4 linked regions of the Tribolium castaneum genome follow. Each later gene encodes a partner of the first gene's protein in a complex. Links are inferred from orthologs where the notes say so. Each region holds a gene or a part of one and is shown in the gene's direction. Other genes may lie near its edges.

Region 1 (4,329 bases):
TCACTCAATTTTCTATACCAAATAAATAAAGTCGGTTTCGTATTAATTTAACTCAACCCCTTCCCAAAACTTTTAGCCCCCCGTAGTTGGAATTAACAATGGAAATGTTCAAGTAGAAATCGTTAAAAATTAAAATTGCACGATAAGCAAACCAAAAAGCATGGCTAAATTTTGGCACTTGATGAGTTAAAAAATGACAAAAAATGGAATTTTAAAAAGCTACGACTAGAATCCGCAACTAAAGTTTAATTATGGCGTAAATGAGATTACTGATTGATTTATTCAGCCATTTGAAGTAACGAATTAATGGTACCGTCTTTATTGCCCCTGTTGGCCTCAAACACGGTCTTAATCACCTCTTTATCGATATTTGGAAACATTTCCTCGATTTGTTTGAGCTCGGATTCACTCAAAGCAGGCGCGGCTTCAGTAGGAGGCGCTGTAAACACCTTCAAGGGTGTGACATTGCCCCCTGTTACGTTGGGCACCACCATAACAGGCGCCGGTGGTTGATATTTATATGAAGGGAACACTAGATAACTTAACACGAGATTAATCATTCCTTCGACACCTTCACCCTGTTTCCCATTTAATGGGTACCAATCCTCGTGGGTTTCCCCTGCAAGTACCTGTTGGGGGATCTGGAACTGCGTCCAGGCGATGAGTTCGTCCATCGTAAATGAGCGTTCGTCGAAAATTTCTAACGTTATGGTATTAATACCTTGAGGCAACAAACTGGAAATGGAAAAGTAGGGACTTGCTAGTTTTTGAGATGTGTTTACCAGTGAATAACTTTGTTCCATCGCGGGTTTTTGCCGCCGTTCGGGTCCGTATGCGTCTCGTAAACGCAATGCCCGACCCGAATCCGAGCGTAGGGGTCCATTCTGGTCATTCCGTAATTTTTTGCGAGCTTAGCTTGAGCAACAGTGATACTGAGCCTCCCAACGACATTTGTGTACTGTTGGCCACCGCTTAGCTGGTGGTGCAGTGCTATGGCTGTTTGGCGATCCGCTGCCTCTTGTTGTTGCTGAACCGAGGTGCTGATACGGAGAAAATCCTCCGGGAGGGGACCAAGGAGGACCTAAATTTCGGCATTAAAGCACGATTTTTTAAATCATTGGCACCTACCCGACTTCGCCTTTCTCTGACTTTGTCCGTTAGCGCCGATGCCATGGTGTTACACTATTTCAGATAAAGTAAAGACGCATTAATTCACTGTTTGCGGTGTTTGATGACAAATAATCAGCTGTTCACGGCAGACGTCAACACGCCTGACACTAGGGGAAAAAATATAATCCCAGTCTGGGATTAAATTTTATTAGTTTCTGGCGAAAATAGCCAGGTAGTTTTGGTTAAATGCAATCTACTAATAATTCTATTCAATTGATTAGTTTTCCAGACAACATTTTTGCATAATTTGGCTAAAATAAAATTTCATCTGAATGAAAGTGTTGCCATTAACTTGACGTAACATCCCTAAAAATTTGACAGGTATTTTCAATATGGCGGGGTTTGGTGCTTGTATTAAATTGTTTCATTAAAATTGTTTAATATTTTGACTAAACAATGGTTGTGTGTCCAGCTGATCATGGCTTACACGCCGATATCGTTTTTGTTATCGAGGGAACTGCAGTGAATGGTGCTTATATAAATGACCTAAAAACCAATTATATCATCCCTTCGTTAGAGTAAGTTTACTTTTTTTTGTAACTTCTGATGTATTACATGTTTTTCTCTACTACTGCTAAATTGTTTTTATTGCCTATTTGGCTTTACAGTCCTACTTGAAGTTATTTGATATTCTAGATATTCTTTACCTTTCCCAATTTTCTTTTGCACCCGTCACTTTTTTCATCCATTCTTTTCCCTTACCATTTTCGTTTAAAACTTTTTTTCGTATCAAACTTGCACACTCTTACCTCCACAAACTGTGACACTCTCCGCTTAATCTGCACACTGTTTCCCAATCTTCTCTCCAATATTCGTTCTCGCTTTCATTTCTACGTCTAAATCTGGCTATGATTTTCTTATCTTTACTTTACATCTTCCTTAAGTATGAGAGGAGTTCATCCGTCAATAAGCACGGCATATTTTACGTATTACACCTCGATTCTTTTTTCCATGTTATTCTTTCCTGCCTATCTATGTCCAAATCTCTCAATTTCAGTTCCTCTTCCATTGTTCGTCCCCTTTCTCTTATTCTTTTAATTTCTATACACACTTATTCCTTCTTCTCATAGGAGTCTTTTCGTCCTTTCCATCTAACATTTTCATTTGCTTTTTTGATTTCTGTTCAACACTGTTGCATTCACGCAGAATTCTTAATTTCTCTTCAAATCCCACCGCTCTCTTTCCTTAATCTACTCTTAATTTTTTTCTCTTCCTTTTTTTACTATGTACTCTGGCATTTGTTTATTTAGCCTGTTCGATCTCGTATTTCTTCCATCCCCACACTTCTGCTCAAAATAGTCCCTACATTACAGTGCTTTTCCCTAAGCTATTATTTTTCTCTTGAAATTTTCACTAAATTTACGTTCTCCCAAGCTTCAAACATTTCCTAAAACCCCATTTGTTTTTTTTTGCTGCTTCTTTTATATGGGCTGTGTCTGACATCTTGCTACTTATTACTCTCTTCTAACTGAAATAGTGAAGATTGACTAAAATAATACAGTACATATCTGATTCAGATACTTCAAGTCTTTCACTTGTTCTATATTTTTCCTTCCCATTGCCATTCATCCTCTTTTCCGAATTCCCATACTACTTTTCTTTCCAAATATCATCATTTTTGTTGTATCTACATCTACATTTCCAATCTTTTATTTCTCTGTTTTTTCTCGTGATGAATTCTGAACGGATAGTTGAACAAGGTTTGAGGTACTGAGAAATCAGTGTAACCTTGCTTTGTTATGATAAAAATTACACCCTGATACGAAAAAGTAGTAGTAGTAGTTTTTAATTGGAGAATATGTTCTTGTAACTGAGGGACTTTTAGATATTTTAGTCAGGGGAGTATTGATGAGAGCAACTTCCTATCAGAAGGGATTAATTCTTATTACGGAATTGTGGTGTATCAGGCTGCTGATTGCTTACCGCACCCCAGTAGCGACACAATTGGGCCCTTTGTAAGCCCCAGTAAGGTATTAAATGCCATAGACAAACTTGAGTAAGTTCTAACTAGGAAAAGGATCACTTAATGTAAAAATTATTTCAGACTTATAGGAGGTAAAGGCGAGTCTCATGCAAACATTGCTGAAGGTTTAGCCACAACCCTTCAATGTTTTGACGAATTGCAGCAAAAACGTGACAATAACGGCAACATTCAAAAGCATTGTATTCTAGTGTGTAACTCGCCCCCTTATTCTCTAGGGGTTTTTGAAACTCATGCTTACACAGGGAAGACAGCTGAGCAACTAGCAGCTATTTTGCAAGAAGTAATTAACCAAGTGTCTTCCACCAAATTTGCATAATTAACTTTCAGAAAAATATCAATTTGTCGATTATCTCGCCGCGCAAAATCCCCTCGTTGTATAAACTGTTCGAGAAAGCCGGCGGTGATTTGAGCGCTTCCCAGACGAAAAACTACGCCAAGGACCCCCGTCACTTGGTCCTCCTGCGCGGCTTCAGCCTGAAGGAGCGCCCCCTGAGCCCCCCTGCCGGTACCGCCACTTCCGCCCAAACCCAAATTTCTAACACTACCATTCCTATAACCTCTCTCCCCAGCCCCTTAGCCAGCAATGACAGCCCCATCTCGTCATCCTCGTCCGCCAACTCCGGGGTTCCCTCAGGAGTGGGCCCATCGCCCGTCTATCGGCCGCCCAGCGCTCAAGGTATAACCCCCCAACACTCACAAAATGTTACACCAGGCATGGTAGGTATGGTGAACGCCCGAGGGGCCATGATGGGCAACAACCCCATGAACATCCCGCAATTGCCCGCACCGCCGGGCTACCACCAAGCGAACCGGCCCAGATGGCCAGCTATGTTGCCCCCAACGCAGCCCAGGTCGTATCTGCCGCCCAACCAACAGGTTAATACCACCCAAAGTAGCGCACTGATTGCACAGCTGACACAACCCCCGAATTCTATGCCGGGGACTGGGGTTAATCAATTTGGACAAAGTAAAAGAGAAGTTTTTGAGGTGTTTGAGGTAAATTGCGTGTTTTAGTGGGGAATAATTCGCCGCTTAATTCGCAACAGCAACAACCCCAAATGAAAATTAATATTATGAATCAGCAAAATCAGCAACCAAATGTTCAGACGTCGATGTCGCAGAATCCCAACAGTGGGATACAGACCACCTCAATTGCGCAGGTGTCGCAGCCGAAT
Region 2 (2,867 bases), on another chromosome or scaffold:
AGACGGCTACCTGGTCTATAGGAACGAAACAGCTGCAGAATACAGGTGCTGCATCAATCGGGCCTTTGAAGACGACGGACAAAAAACCAAAATCATCAACTGCGAGGGGGCCAAGTGGGACGTCGACCTCCCTCTGCCCAACTGTACTAGTAAGTTTGATTAGACGCTAAATGGAATTGACCTCCGACCCCGCTTTTTAATTTTTAATGAGATAAAGTGTTGTGTGCGAACAAAGATAACGCCGAAACTCCACATTTCGTGCTTTGTGCGAGTTTGCTAGTTTGGATAAAACAAAGATAAACTGAACGTAAGCCCTACAAAACAATTTCGCATTCGATGAAACTCCCAAACAAAATCTAATTATATTATGGAGTCTACGCCTCTGCCTATTGACTTGTTGGTGTTTCCGTTCAACAAAACGTTCCCGTATTGCTTTATCTCTCTCGCGATGCTCAGTTGTCAACGGAAAATCGTGTAGGAACCACGTGGATTACCTAGAGGCGTTTTTCGCGATAAAAAGAATTGTAGGAGTTTGCACTAACGAGGCAAATAGTGAGTGTTTCTAGAGTTTTTTTTCATGTAATTGTATTTTTAGCGTCCAATTAGACAAAGCAGTTGAGGTTATATTGTATTGTTATAAAAAAAATCATTATGAAAAGTTTTGTTGTTATCAAATTGCGGAATTGCGCTTCAGACCACATTCATTAAGTCAGCGGCGACTCGTGAACAAGGCTAAATTTACTCATTTTTTCAGAAAAACTTCAACAAAAGCCTCTGCTAACTGTTCAAGACATCGGAAAATCGAAAAATATCGAAATGGTTTCAGGTAACGCATTTTATGATTTGTTTAGGTTGCTGTTAATTTTTTTTCAGATGTTTTAGCACCGGCCTTACTCATAGCGGCTTTATTTTTGATAAATTTTATGGTTCTATTTTACATTTATAAAATTAAGCAAAAGTAAGTTGCTAATTTAGACTAATTTTTTTTCATCCATTGATCTTGTTTTTTTTTTAGACACGCTGAAGAATTTGCTGACGAAGAATTAGGAACGTTGCCACTGTCAAGTTGTGAGAAAGCCTCGCCTTGAATTATTTATTTGTAAAAATGACACTTTTATAATAAAAGTTTTATTTAATAATCGCTATTTTATTCCACCACTTTGAAAGTTGCAGTTTGGCGCGTAAGAACACTAGGAATTTTCGTTAGCTAAGGTTTACCAAAATAAAAACGCAATTTTCAAAAAAATTTATTGTTATAAATCAAATCCAAAAATACGGTAAATATAAAACATATGTTTACATTATGATTCAAGAGATAAGGGGTCAACGACTTTGAACTTGTAGCATTTTTGACACCTAGCTAAGTTGGCACCACTGACGATCATTAAGCTATAATAACCTCAATTTAGCCCCCAAAAATCCACTTAAAATGGGGGTCACAGTGTTACAACAGTTCCCCACAGAGAACCGCACGGGGCCCTCCACCATTGAGCTCCTCTCGAAGCGAATTTCCGCCCTGGGGGCCCTGCAACAGGGCCAGTTTCTCGTCGATTGCGAAACGTTTACTTCTTGTGCCGCTTTGGGACACCAACGTACAGTCCACGTCCTTCACAATTCCGAGCAGCCGGCGACTGTTTTTTCGATCCTTGAGACAGGCCAAAAGACCATTCCTCTCGCAACTGACGGCCTTTTTGATCTCCTGATGATGAAAATGTCCGGTTTTTACTCATCAAAAAAACAGACTAAGGCCGAGTCGAAGGGGCCGCGATACGAAATCGGTGATTTTTGTGTAAAATTGGGAACAGTGACTGTAAGTCAGAACTTTCGGGGGGTTCTGGTTGAAGTAGAGTATCGACCATGTGTGGTGCCTGCGATGTGTTGGGAGTTGATGCGGGAGTTTCTGCAGGGGTTTTTGGGGTCGTCGGTGCCTGCAACGCCCCCACCGTATTTGCAAAACAGGATGCAGGAGTTGTATACCCCCATTGATACAATTCATCAGTATTTGGAGCAGTTTACGATATTTAGGAAGGCCCCCGGTTTAAGGCCCTAATTTTAAGCTAATTTATTGTAAGGTTCAAAGTTTTTGTAAAGAAAAAATTAAATAAAAACAATTTTGAGGTTATATTGTCTTTCTCTTTTACTCCCACACATTAGACTATTATGCGTCTTTGTCTAATTACATAATTTGGAAAGTTGATTGTTCACCTCTATCAGCACTTACGTAGGGCAGAATGTGATAGTGGTGATGAAGCAGTTTTTTTTCAATAAAACAGCATGAAAACATAATCATGCGTTTGCGGTAATTGTTCCTTACTTGAGAGAAAAAGCACAAAAATGAGTGAGATTGAGAAAATCCGGGTTGGATCCCGGAAAAGCGAGGTATTTATCACGTGTTTGTTATTGTGGGCTCTTTTTCATTTGACATTTTCAGCTGGCTCTCATTCAAACGCGACATGTGATTTCACTGCTCAAAAAAATTCATCCTGGGAAGGATTTTGAAATTGGTGAGGTTTCGCAAAAAATTCCCAAAATTTATTTATTTATTTCAAAAATTTATTTTTAGTAACAATGAGTACATTAGGAGATAAAGTCCTAGATATACCGTTACCAAAAATTGGTGAAAAATCTCTCTTCACCAAAGAACTTGAAGCAGCTTTAAGTACAGGCTGTGTAGATTTTGTTGTACACTCATTAAAAGATCTTCCAACCGTATTACCTCCAGGAATGGCAATTGGGGCTGTTTTGACTAGGTTTTTCTTAATTATTATTGTAATGATTATAATTAGCTTTCGTAAAATTTAGAGAGGATCCGCGGGACGCTCTAGTGTTGCAAAAAGATCATGACAAATATTTATTAGAGACTTTAC
Region 3 (3,384 bases), on another chromosome or scaffold:
TCCCACAATATTTTTTTTCGCCGGTTGTATTGGCACACCTGTCAATTGCGAGACGTAGCGTTTCTTATAACCTTAAAGTTACTTCGCCCAAACAAACAAAAAATGGGCTCAAAGAAGAAGAAGCGCGTTTCCAGCAGCTCCAGTTCATCAGATTCAAGCAGCGAAAGCTCCGATTCATCACCCGAACGGCGCCCGAAACGTAAAAGCAAGAAAACCGAATCGAAACCTGAGACTGAAGAATCGCCGAAGAAAACCAAAACGAAGGCAAACTCGCATAAAAAACACGAAACTCCGCCTGTGGCAAGTGACGAGGCGAATAAACAGGCAAAAAAGAGGGACAAAAAGCCAACAAATGAGGAAGAAACCGACAGGTATGATTGTTGGTGGTTTTAAGGGAAAATACTAGTTGTGTTTAAAGGAAACGCAAGCGGAGTCCTGTGCCTGAAAATCGGGACAGGCGGGAGAGGGACGATAAGAGGGTCCGGGACGATCGGGGGCGGCATGACGACAGGAGAAACCGCCCCAATGACCACCGTTCTCACGATAACAGGTTCAGAAACCGGCGTCCTGATTACAGAGACAGGGAACGGGATTACAGGAACCGACGGGACGATAACAAAAATTACCACAACCGGGAGCGAAACAGAGAGAACCATCCAAGGCGGCGTAGCAGAAGCGCCTCCTTTGACCACTCGAACGCCCGTTGGGGCCGCGAGTCGGACGACAAAAAATCCGACAAGAAGGAAAAAGACCAGAAGGAAAAGCAAAAACCGAATTTCGGTCTTTCGGGAAAACTTACCGAAGAAACTAACACTTATCGTGGCGTTGTTATAAAATATAGCGAGCCGCCTGAGGCTTGCAAGCCGAAACGTCGGTGGCGGTTGTACCCTTTTAAGGGCGAAAAGGCCCTTCAGACTTTATACATACATCGCGAAAGCGCCTACTTGATTGGGCGCGATCGCAAAGTTGTTGATCTCCCTGTAGATCACCCTTCGTGCTCAAAACAACACGCAGCTTTGCAGTATCGCCTAGTCCCTTTCACGCGTGAGGATGGCACCACTGGTTTGTGGGACAGCTGGTAGTGTGTTGGGTTTTTCATTGTTTTTTTCAGGGAAGAGAATAAGGCCGTATTTGATTGATTTGAACTCGGCTAATGGGACTTTTATCAATAATAAGAAGATAGAGCCGAGTAAATATGTGGAGTTGTTGGAGAAAGACGTGATCAAGTTTGGGTTCAGCTCAAGGGAGTACGTTTTATTGCATGAGAATAGTAAAGATGAGACACAGGATGACGATGTGAAGCAGGAAGAGCCGGCGGTTCAAGTCAAGAGTGAAGAGAATTGAATTTTGTGTATATATTTTAATTTAGCTTAGGTTTCTTTCAATAAAGTAATTTTTTCGATTAAAATTCCCGCTCTTACGATTTAGTTATTCTCTGGGCAGATGGCATCGCAGTGTGCGCGTTATTTTGACATTTGTGTATTTGAGGTTGTGTTCGAAATAAAAACTGTTCAATTGATTATTTCGTTTAATATTTAAACCCGTGAGTGTTTTTCCCCATCATTATGTCGTCTCAAATGAGCACGAAGGAAAAACTCCTTTACATCCTCGACGATATTGAGTTAATCTCCAAGTACGTCCCCCTTTCGGGTCATTTCGTATGGTTTTATTTGCGTTTTTTAGAGAAATAATCGAGAATTCAATCGCCCCCAAGCACCTCAAGCTTTCCGGCCCTGAATACGCTCAACTGACCGAGCTTTTGGTGGCCAAAAACACCGAACTGACTGAAACCCTTAAACTGGCCGCTGAACAGGCGCAAATCGACAAAAAAATGGACATCTTGAAGGCCGAAGTGGAGCGTCAGGACAACGACATTAACAACTTGCAAAAACAGCTCAAAGAGGCCGAGCAAATCCTGGCCACTGCGATTTATCAAGCCAACCAGAAACTCCAGTCCATTTCCCGCGCAAATAAACGGCCGGTCTCGTCCGAGGAACTTATCAAATTTGCGCACAGGATTAGCGCGTCTAATGCGATATGTGCCCCCTTGACGTGGCAACAGGGGGACCCGCGCCGGCCGTACCCCACCGATATTGAGATGCGGTTGGGGCTGCTGGGGCGGCTGATGAGCGATCCAATTAACGGGCATTTGTTGCAACAGCAGAACAGTTTGTCAGATTTACATAGACAGGGGCACCCGGGGGAAATACCCGCCGCGCAACAAAATCAATTTGCATGGCATCCCTCGGGGGAGATTCACATGAGTGTGGGGCAAGGGAGTGTCCCGATGGACACGCGGAACCATAAACAGGAGACCGAGGATGTGGAGGTCATGTCCACGGACTCCAGCAGCAGTTCCTCAAGCGATTCTCAGTAGTTTTGTGTTTTTTCCCTGGACTTGATTCATCATATTTATATAAAAAAATTAAGCGAGTTTGTGTGGAGAGTATACCATGAGGGGAAATAAAATGATAAATCAATAGATTGAGGCGGCTATTTGGGGAAAAAGTCTTGTCTGCTTATCTCATCAATCAACTCTTCGTGACAGTTTAGATAAGATCTTTGTTTGCGTCTGACGAATATTGTTTTCTTATGTTTGTTTATAATGGAAGGAAAATAAAACACATTTCATTGTAATACCAACGTCTATTATTTAATTATTCCCTACAAGCTGAAGTGATTCAAATTTATTGTTTGATGAAATGATAATCACAAAAATGAAGCAGTTTCTCATTTTCTGAAATTTCTAAACAACACTCACTTTCTATAAAAACAAGTTTGTTGTTTTGATTGCGTCTTTATGATAGGTACAAATTTACAAGTAGGTTTTTTGATTTAAATTTTTATCGGATATGTGAGTTTTTTATCACAGGGTCGTAGTGTGATAATTTGAAAATTAAACCGCGTTATTACAGCAGAGCTAGGGCTGAAAAACGAGAGAAAGTCACCGAATATTATCGATATTCTTAACAATGACATTATCGTATCACAGTATCGATAATGATAAGTTTCCAACTGTAATCAATTTTTCGAAATACTTTAACAAACGAGTTATTTATTGTCATTATTACGCGATATGGGTATCAATAAATCAATAACATACAGGCGACTCATTTCCAAGGCTTGATCAACTGGTGGTGCTTGAGCTTAACAATGCACTTTGATTAAACAACGCTTTAATGAATATCGACAATAACTGATTCTTTTTTAACAGCTCTACTCCCATTATTACCATGTGTTAAGGTAGTGGCGATGCACTTATTGTAGAACAGCACAAAGTGTCTCAACTTTCCAAAAATAATAGTACCTTTGCAACAAACGGAATTTCTCTTGTTACCTAATTTACTCAAATATCAAGAAAAATACTCTCATTTGATTCGCCTA
Region 4 (3,078 bases), on another chromosome or scaffold:
TGGGGGTTGTCTCAATTCGGGTTTGGGGGTTGGGGGCGTGGCTTCATCATCGTCATCAAACAAGCCCTTACCCCCTGAAAACAACCCCTTAGGTTCGTCCAAAGGCGGCGGTTCATCGAAAAATAGGTTATCTGGAATTAGCGTTTAGTCTGCGGTCCGCTTCCAAAAACAATTACCGTATTGTGGCGTTTTCTGGATTGGCCGTCGATTGACGTACTCTTGATCAATCACGTTCCCCAATTTCGCCGCCAACTCTTCGGCAAAGTTGGTAGTTGGTTGCACCGGAACTGAGTTTTCACTATCACTCGAATTGACGAAATTTTTCGGTTCAGTTCGCAAGTCCTCAGAACTGGTATCAGAGGTGCCCTTGATCTGGAAAAAGAACCAGATATTGCCCATGGCGACTGGATCGCGACTAAACAAAAAATTCGGTTGGCCGGTTAATAGACCAATAAAATTATGATAATGAATGGATCAAGTGCAACTCAACCAGTGGAAAAACATGTGTAAAGTACCTGTGTTCTGTCGGGAATAATTGGCAACTCTGATTCTGAGTCGCTTTCACTGAAATTATCTGAGACTTTCTCAGTTTCGCTATCGCTGGACGAGTCCTCCAGGCCCACGTGCCACGTCTTTTGCCACTCTTCTGAGCCGATTACGTACGGAAGGGGGCGCTCCAGGTACAAGTCTTTGGGTCTGAGGACAAAACTGGAAAAGACAAACTAGTTTTTGTAAATTATTTAGAAAAAAATTACTTGGGCAAGTCGATATCGTCGTCTTCACTGTCACTGACCGACACCTCAACCTTCTCAAAATACGTCTCCAAGACCTCCAAACCCTTCAAAGCCGCCAACCTGATTTCCTCAGTCTTATCAACCTCTTTCTCCTCGGCTTTCGCCTCAACCGGCTCCTCCAAAGTCTCATCGTCCTCATAAACCCGACTTTCAATAAACTGGCTGTTTCGCAAACTTTGAAACTCGTTTTGGGCTATATTCAACTGGAGACTTGTCTCAGACAGGGAGCTTGTCAAATTTTGCAAGTTATTGTTGATTTCGGTTGTTCGAGTCAGGAGATTCTAAAAATTGAACGCTGAAACGGTTCAATGTGGGCCAAAAATGCGAAATACGTCTGCAAAAGCCTTGAGAGTGTTCAAAAGGGCCACATCTCCGGCTAAATTCCAATTGTCCGAATTTTGGATTATTTCGTCCATGGACCATGGTCGCTCCCACGGCTTGGCCCCGGACATTTCTAAAGCGCTGAACAGGCCTGTAATTGCTATTTTTCATTAATAATAATAATAATTTGACATCTGTCAAAAACTGACTTGGGGACTTTCAACTCGTGGGTTGGCTATTACTCCCCGGTTTTGCGTTATTATTTGATTAAATAAAACCAATTAATTTGTAAATAAAACCGTTCTACTATATTTGAAATCAGGCGTGATAACTAAAATGTAACTTCGGCCCGGTGGGATTAATTTACGCAGACTTTACCCAACCAGATTTGGGTTGGCAATCATGTGTGTTTGTTTTTGCAAGATGTCATTCACCTTCTAGTATTATTCTAGTTATTTCGTACGAATTAATATATTTTGTCGCATATTAAACCTCGGGAGATAACAAATTATCATCAGTGTTGGTTTTTATGTGATTTCGGGTCTTATCACTTGTCGGTGATTGGGTAACATAACCTCAATGGCCGATCGTTTGACCCAGCTCCAGGATTGCATAAATCAGGTAATTCCCCCTAAGACTGTACCACTAATTGCATTCGTGTTGTCGCAGCAAGCCGAGCATTTCTGCAACAGCATTGGGATTTTGCAACAGTTCGCCCCTCCTAGCAAATTCCCAAACTTCGACAGGAGTGGCTCCCAAACCCCCCAGCAACAGAACCAAGAAGACTACGTCCAGTTATTCACAACGTTGATTGCGCGCTGTGCCAAAGACATAGATACTTTGATTGAATCGCTCCCGAGCGAGGAAAATTCAACCGAATTACAGGTACCTATCTACAATGACTTGGTCCGACCGCGGACTAAACACTGTTTCAGTTGCAAAGCTTGCGAATTTTGGAATCAGACAATCAAGAGTCTGCTGAGCGTCTCGAGGCTATAGTTCGTAAAGGTCAGGATCTCTTGGAGCAAATCCAGGCGGCGTTGAGCGACATCGCCCAATCACAGCTGGACATGCAGCATTTGACAAAAGCGGGGAGTAAGGATAGTTAAGTGAGCTGTTAATGAATTTTATTTGCGGTTGTGATGAAAAACAAACACAAATAACCATGTACTATTTACAGAAACATATATACAAATAAAAAAGATAATTTAAATTTTATATAGTAACTAACTCGGTTTAAAGTCTGTCTTGTTTCCCTTTAATTAAGTGTTCCTCGACACGTGGCCGCGCCACACAGACACGGGATTTTCTCGTCCTCGATCGGGAATTTGTAATCGTAAGTAATTTCCTCGTTCACACCTATGCTCTGTTTCGAGTAGATCACTATTTTCTTTTGCGACTCGATTGTGATGACTTTGGCGTAGCAATTCGGCTGTAAAAATCATTTTTTCGGGTTATGGAAGACTGTCGCTTAGGAAACGAAACGAGATACAAAATCGTACCCAAAATGTAAAAATGAGGGCGCTTTGAGCATTATACTGTCTCGGCGCCAAGTCGTTTTAAATTAATTTAAAAACAAATGGACAAATCAAGAACACAAGAAAAATCCTACGAAGAAATTTATGGAGAATAAAATTTTCTATTACACGTACACCAAGAATCATTTAAAAACACATTGTACCTACACCGTTGAAAATGGAAATATGTTGTCGCAAACTGTTTTATAGGAAATTTAATTCTCTACAACTTTGTTCCTTACACTTTTTTCAACAAGCGATTTATTCTTTAAAATATTAAAACATTATTAAATTGTTCTATGTTGTGTATAATATTTTGTGGTTCCAAGATATTAACACGAAACTAGACTCACCACAAAATTATCGCATCACTTAAATTGCAAGATTTTGAGTGTTAAGAGATTGAAAATAGAACTGAAATTGATGATATAAGATAATAGAATTCT

Evidence for each region.
Region 2: mediator of RNA polymerase II transcription subunit 25 (region 1) and MED20 share a complex: the UniProt entries of both Homo sapiens proteins name them as parts of the mediator complex. The link is inferred for Tribolium castaneum from reciprocal best matches to the Homo sapiens genes MED25 and MED20.
Region 3: mediator of RNA polymerase II transcription subunit 25 (region 1) and MED4 share a complex: the UniProt entries of both Homo sapiens proteins name them as parts of the mediator complex. The link is inferred for Tribolium castaneum from reciprocal best matches to the Homo sapiens genes MED25 and MED4.
Region 4: mediator of RNA polymerase II transcription subunit 25 (region 1) and MED21 share a complex: the UniProt entries of both Homo sapiens proteins name them as parts of the mediator complex. The link is inferred for Tribolium castaneum from reciprocal best matches to the Homo sapiens genes MED25 and MED21.

The regions. Positions count from the first base shown.
Region 1 is NC_087402.1:9,089,858-9,094,186, forward strand, and holds the start of mediator of RNA polymerase II transcription subunit 25, read left to right. Parts: upstream 1-1,468; 5' UTR 1,469-1,566; coding exon 1,567-1,688; intron 1,689-2,995; coding exon 2,996-3,166; intron 3,167-3,214; coding exon 3,215-3,434; intron 3,435-3,481; coding exon 3,482-3,830; intron 3,831-3,875; coding exon 3,876-4,121; intron 4,122-4,168; coding exon 4,169-4,329. Other genes in the region: toll-interacting protein, read right to left, coding at 279-735, 783-1,081, 1,129-1,173. UniProt on the Homo sapiens protein: Component of the Mediator complex, a coactivator involved in the regulated transcription of nearly all RNA polymerase II-dependent genes.
Region 2 is NC_087398.1:429,439-432,305, forward strand, and holds MED20 (mediator of RNA polymerase II transcription subunit 20), read left to right. Parts: upstream 1-1,293; 5' UTR 1,294-1,429; coding exon 1,430-2,050; 3' UTR 2,051-2,122; downstream 2,123-2,867. Other genes in the region: uncharacterized protein LOC103313212, read left to right, coding at 1-149, 755-826, 874-958, 1,016-1,088; Hmbs (porphobilinogen deaminase), read left to right, coding at 2,335-2,379, 2,432-2,504, 2,564-2,750, 2,803-2,867. UniProt on the Homo sapiens protein: Component of the Mediator complex, a coactivator involved in the regulated transcription of nearly all RNA polymerase II-dependent genes.
Region 3 is NC_087397.1:1,784,102-1,787,485, reverse strand, and holds MED4 (mediator of RNA polymerase II transcription subunit 4), read left to right. Parts: upstream 1-1,443; 5' UTR 1,444-1,565; coding exon 1,566-1,633; intron 1,634-1,683; coding exon 1,684-2,377; 3' UTR 2,378-2,639; downstream 2,640-3,384. Other genes in the region: uncharacterized protein LOC661495, read left to right, coding at 103-371, 419-1,062, 1,112-1,344. UniProt on the Homo sapiens protein: Component of the Mediator complex, a coactivator involved in the regulated transcription of nearly all RNA polymerase II-dependent genes.
Region 4 is NC_087401.1:8,393,340-8,396,417, forward strand, and holds MED21 (mediator of RNA polymerase II transcription subunit 21), read left to right. Parts: upstream 1-1,506; 5' UTR 1,507-1,694; coding exon 1,695-1,736; intron 1,737-1,784; coding exon 1,785-2,000; intron 2,001-2,050; coding exon 2,051-2,224; 3' UTR 2,225-2,333; downstream 2,334-3,078. Other genes in the region: FAM21 (WASH complex subunit 2A), read right to left, coding at 1-131, 177-372, 516-708, 756-1,075, 1,127-1,246; Set1 (histone-lysine N-methyltransferase SETD1B), read right to left, coding at 2,374-2,547. UniProt on the Homo sapiens protein: Component of the Mediator complex, a coactivator involved in the regulated transcription of nearly all RNA polymerase II-dependent genes.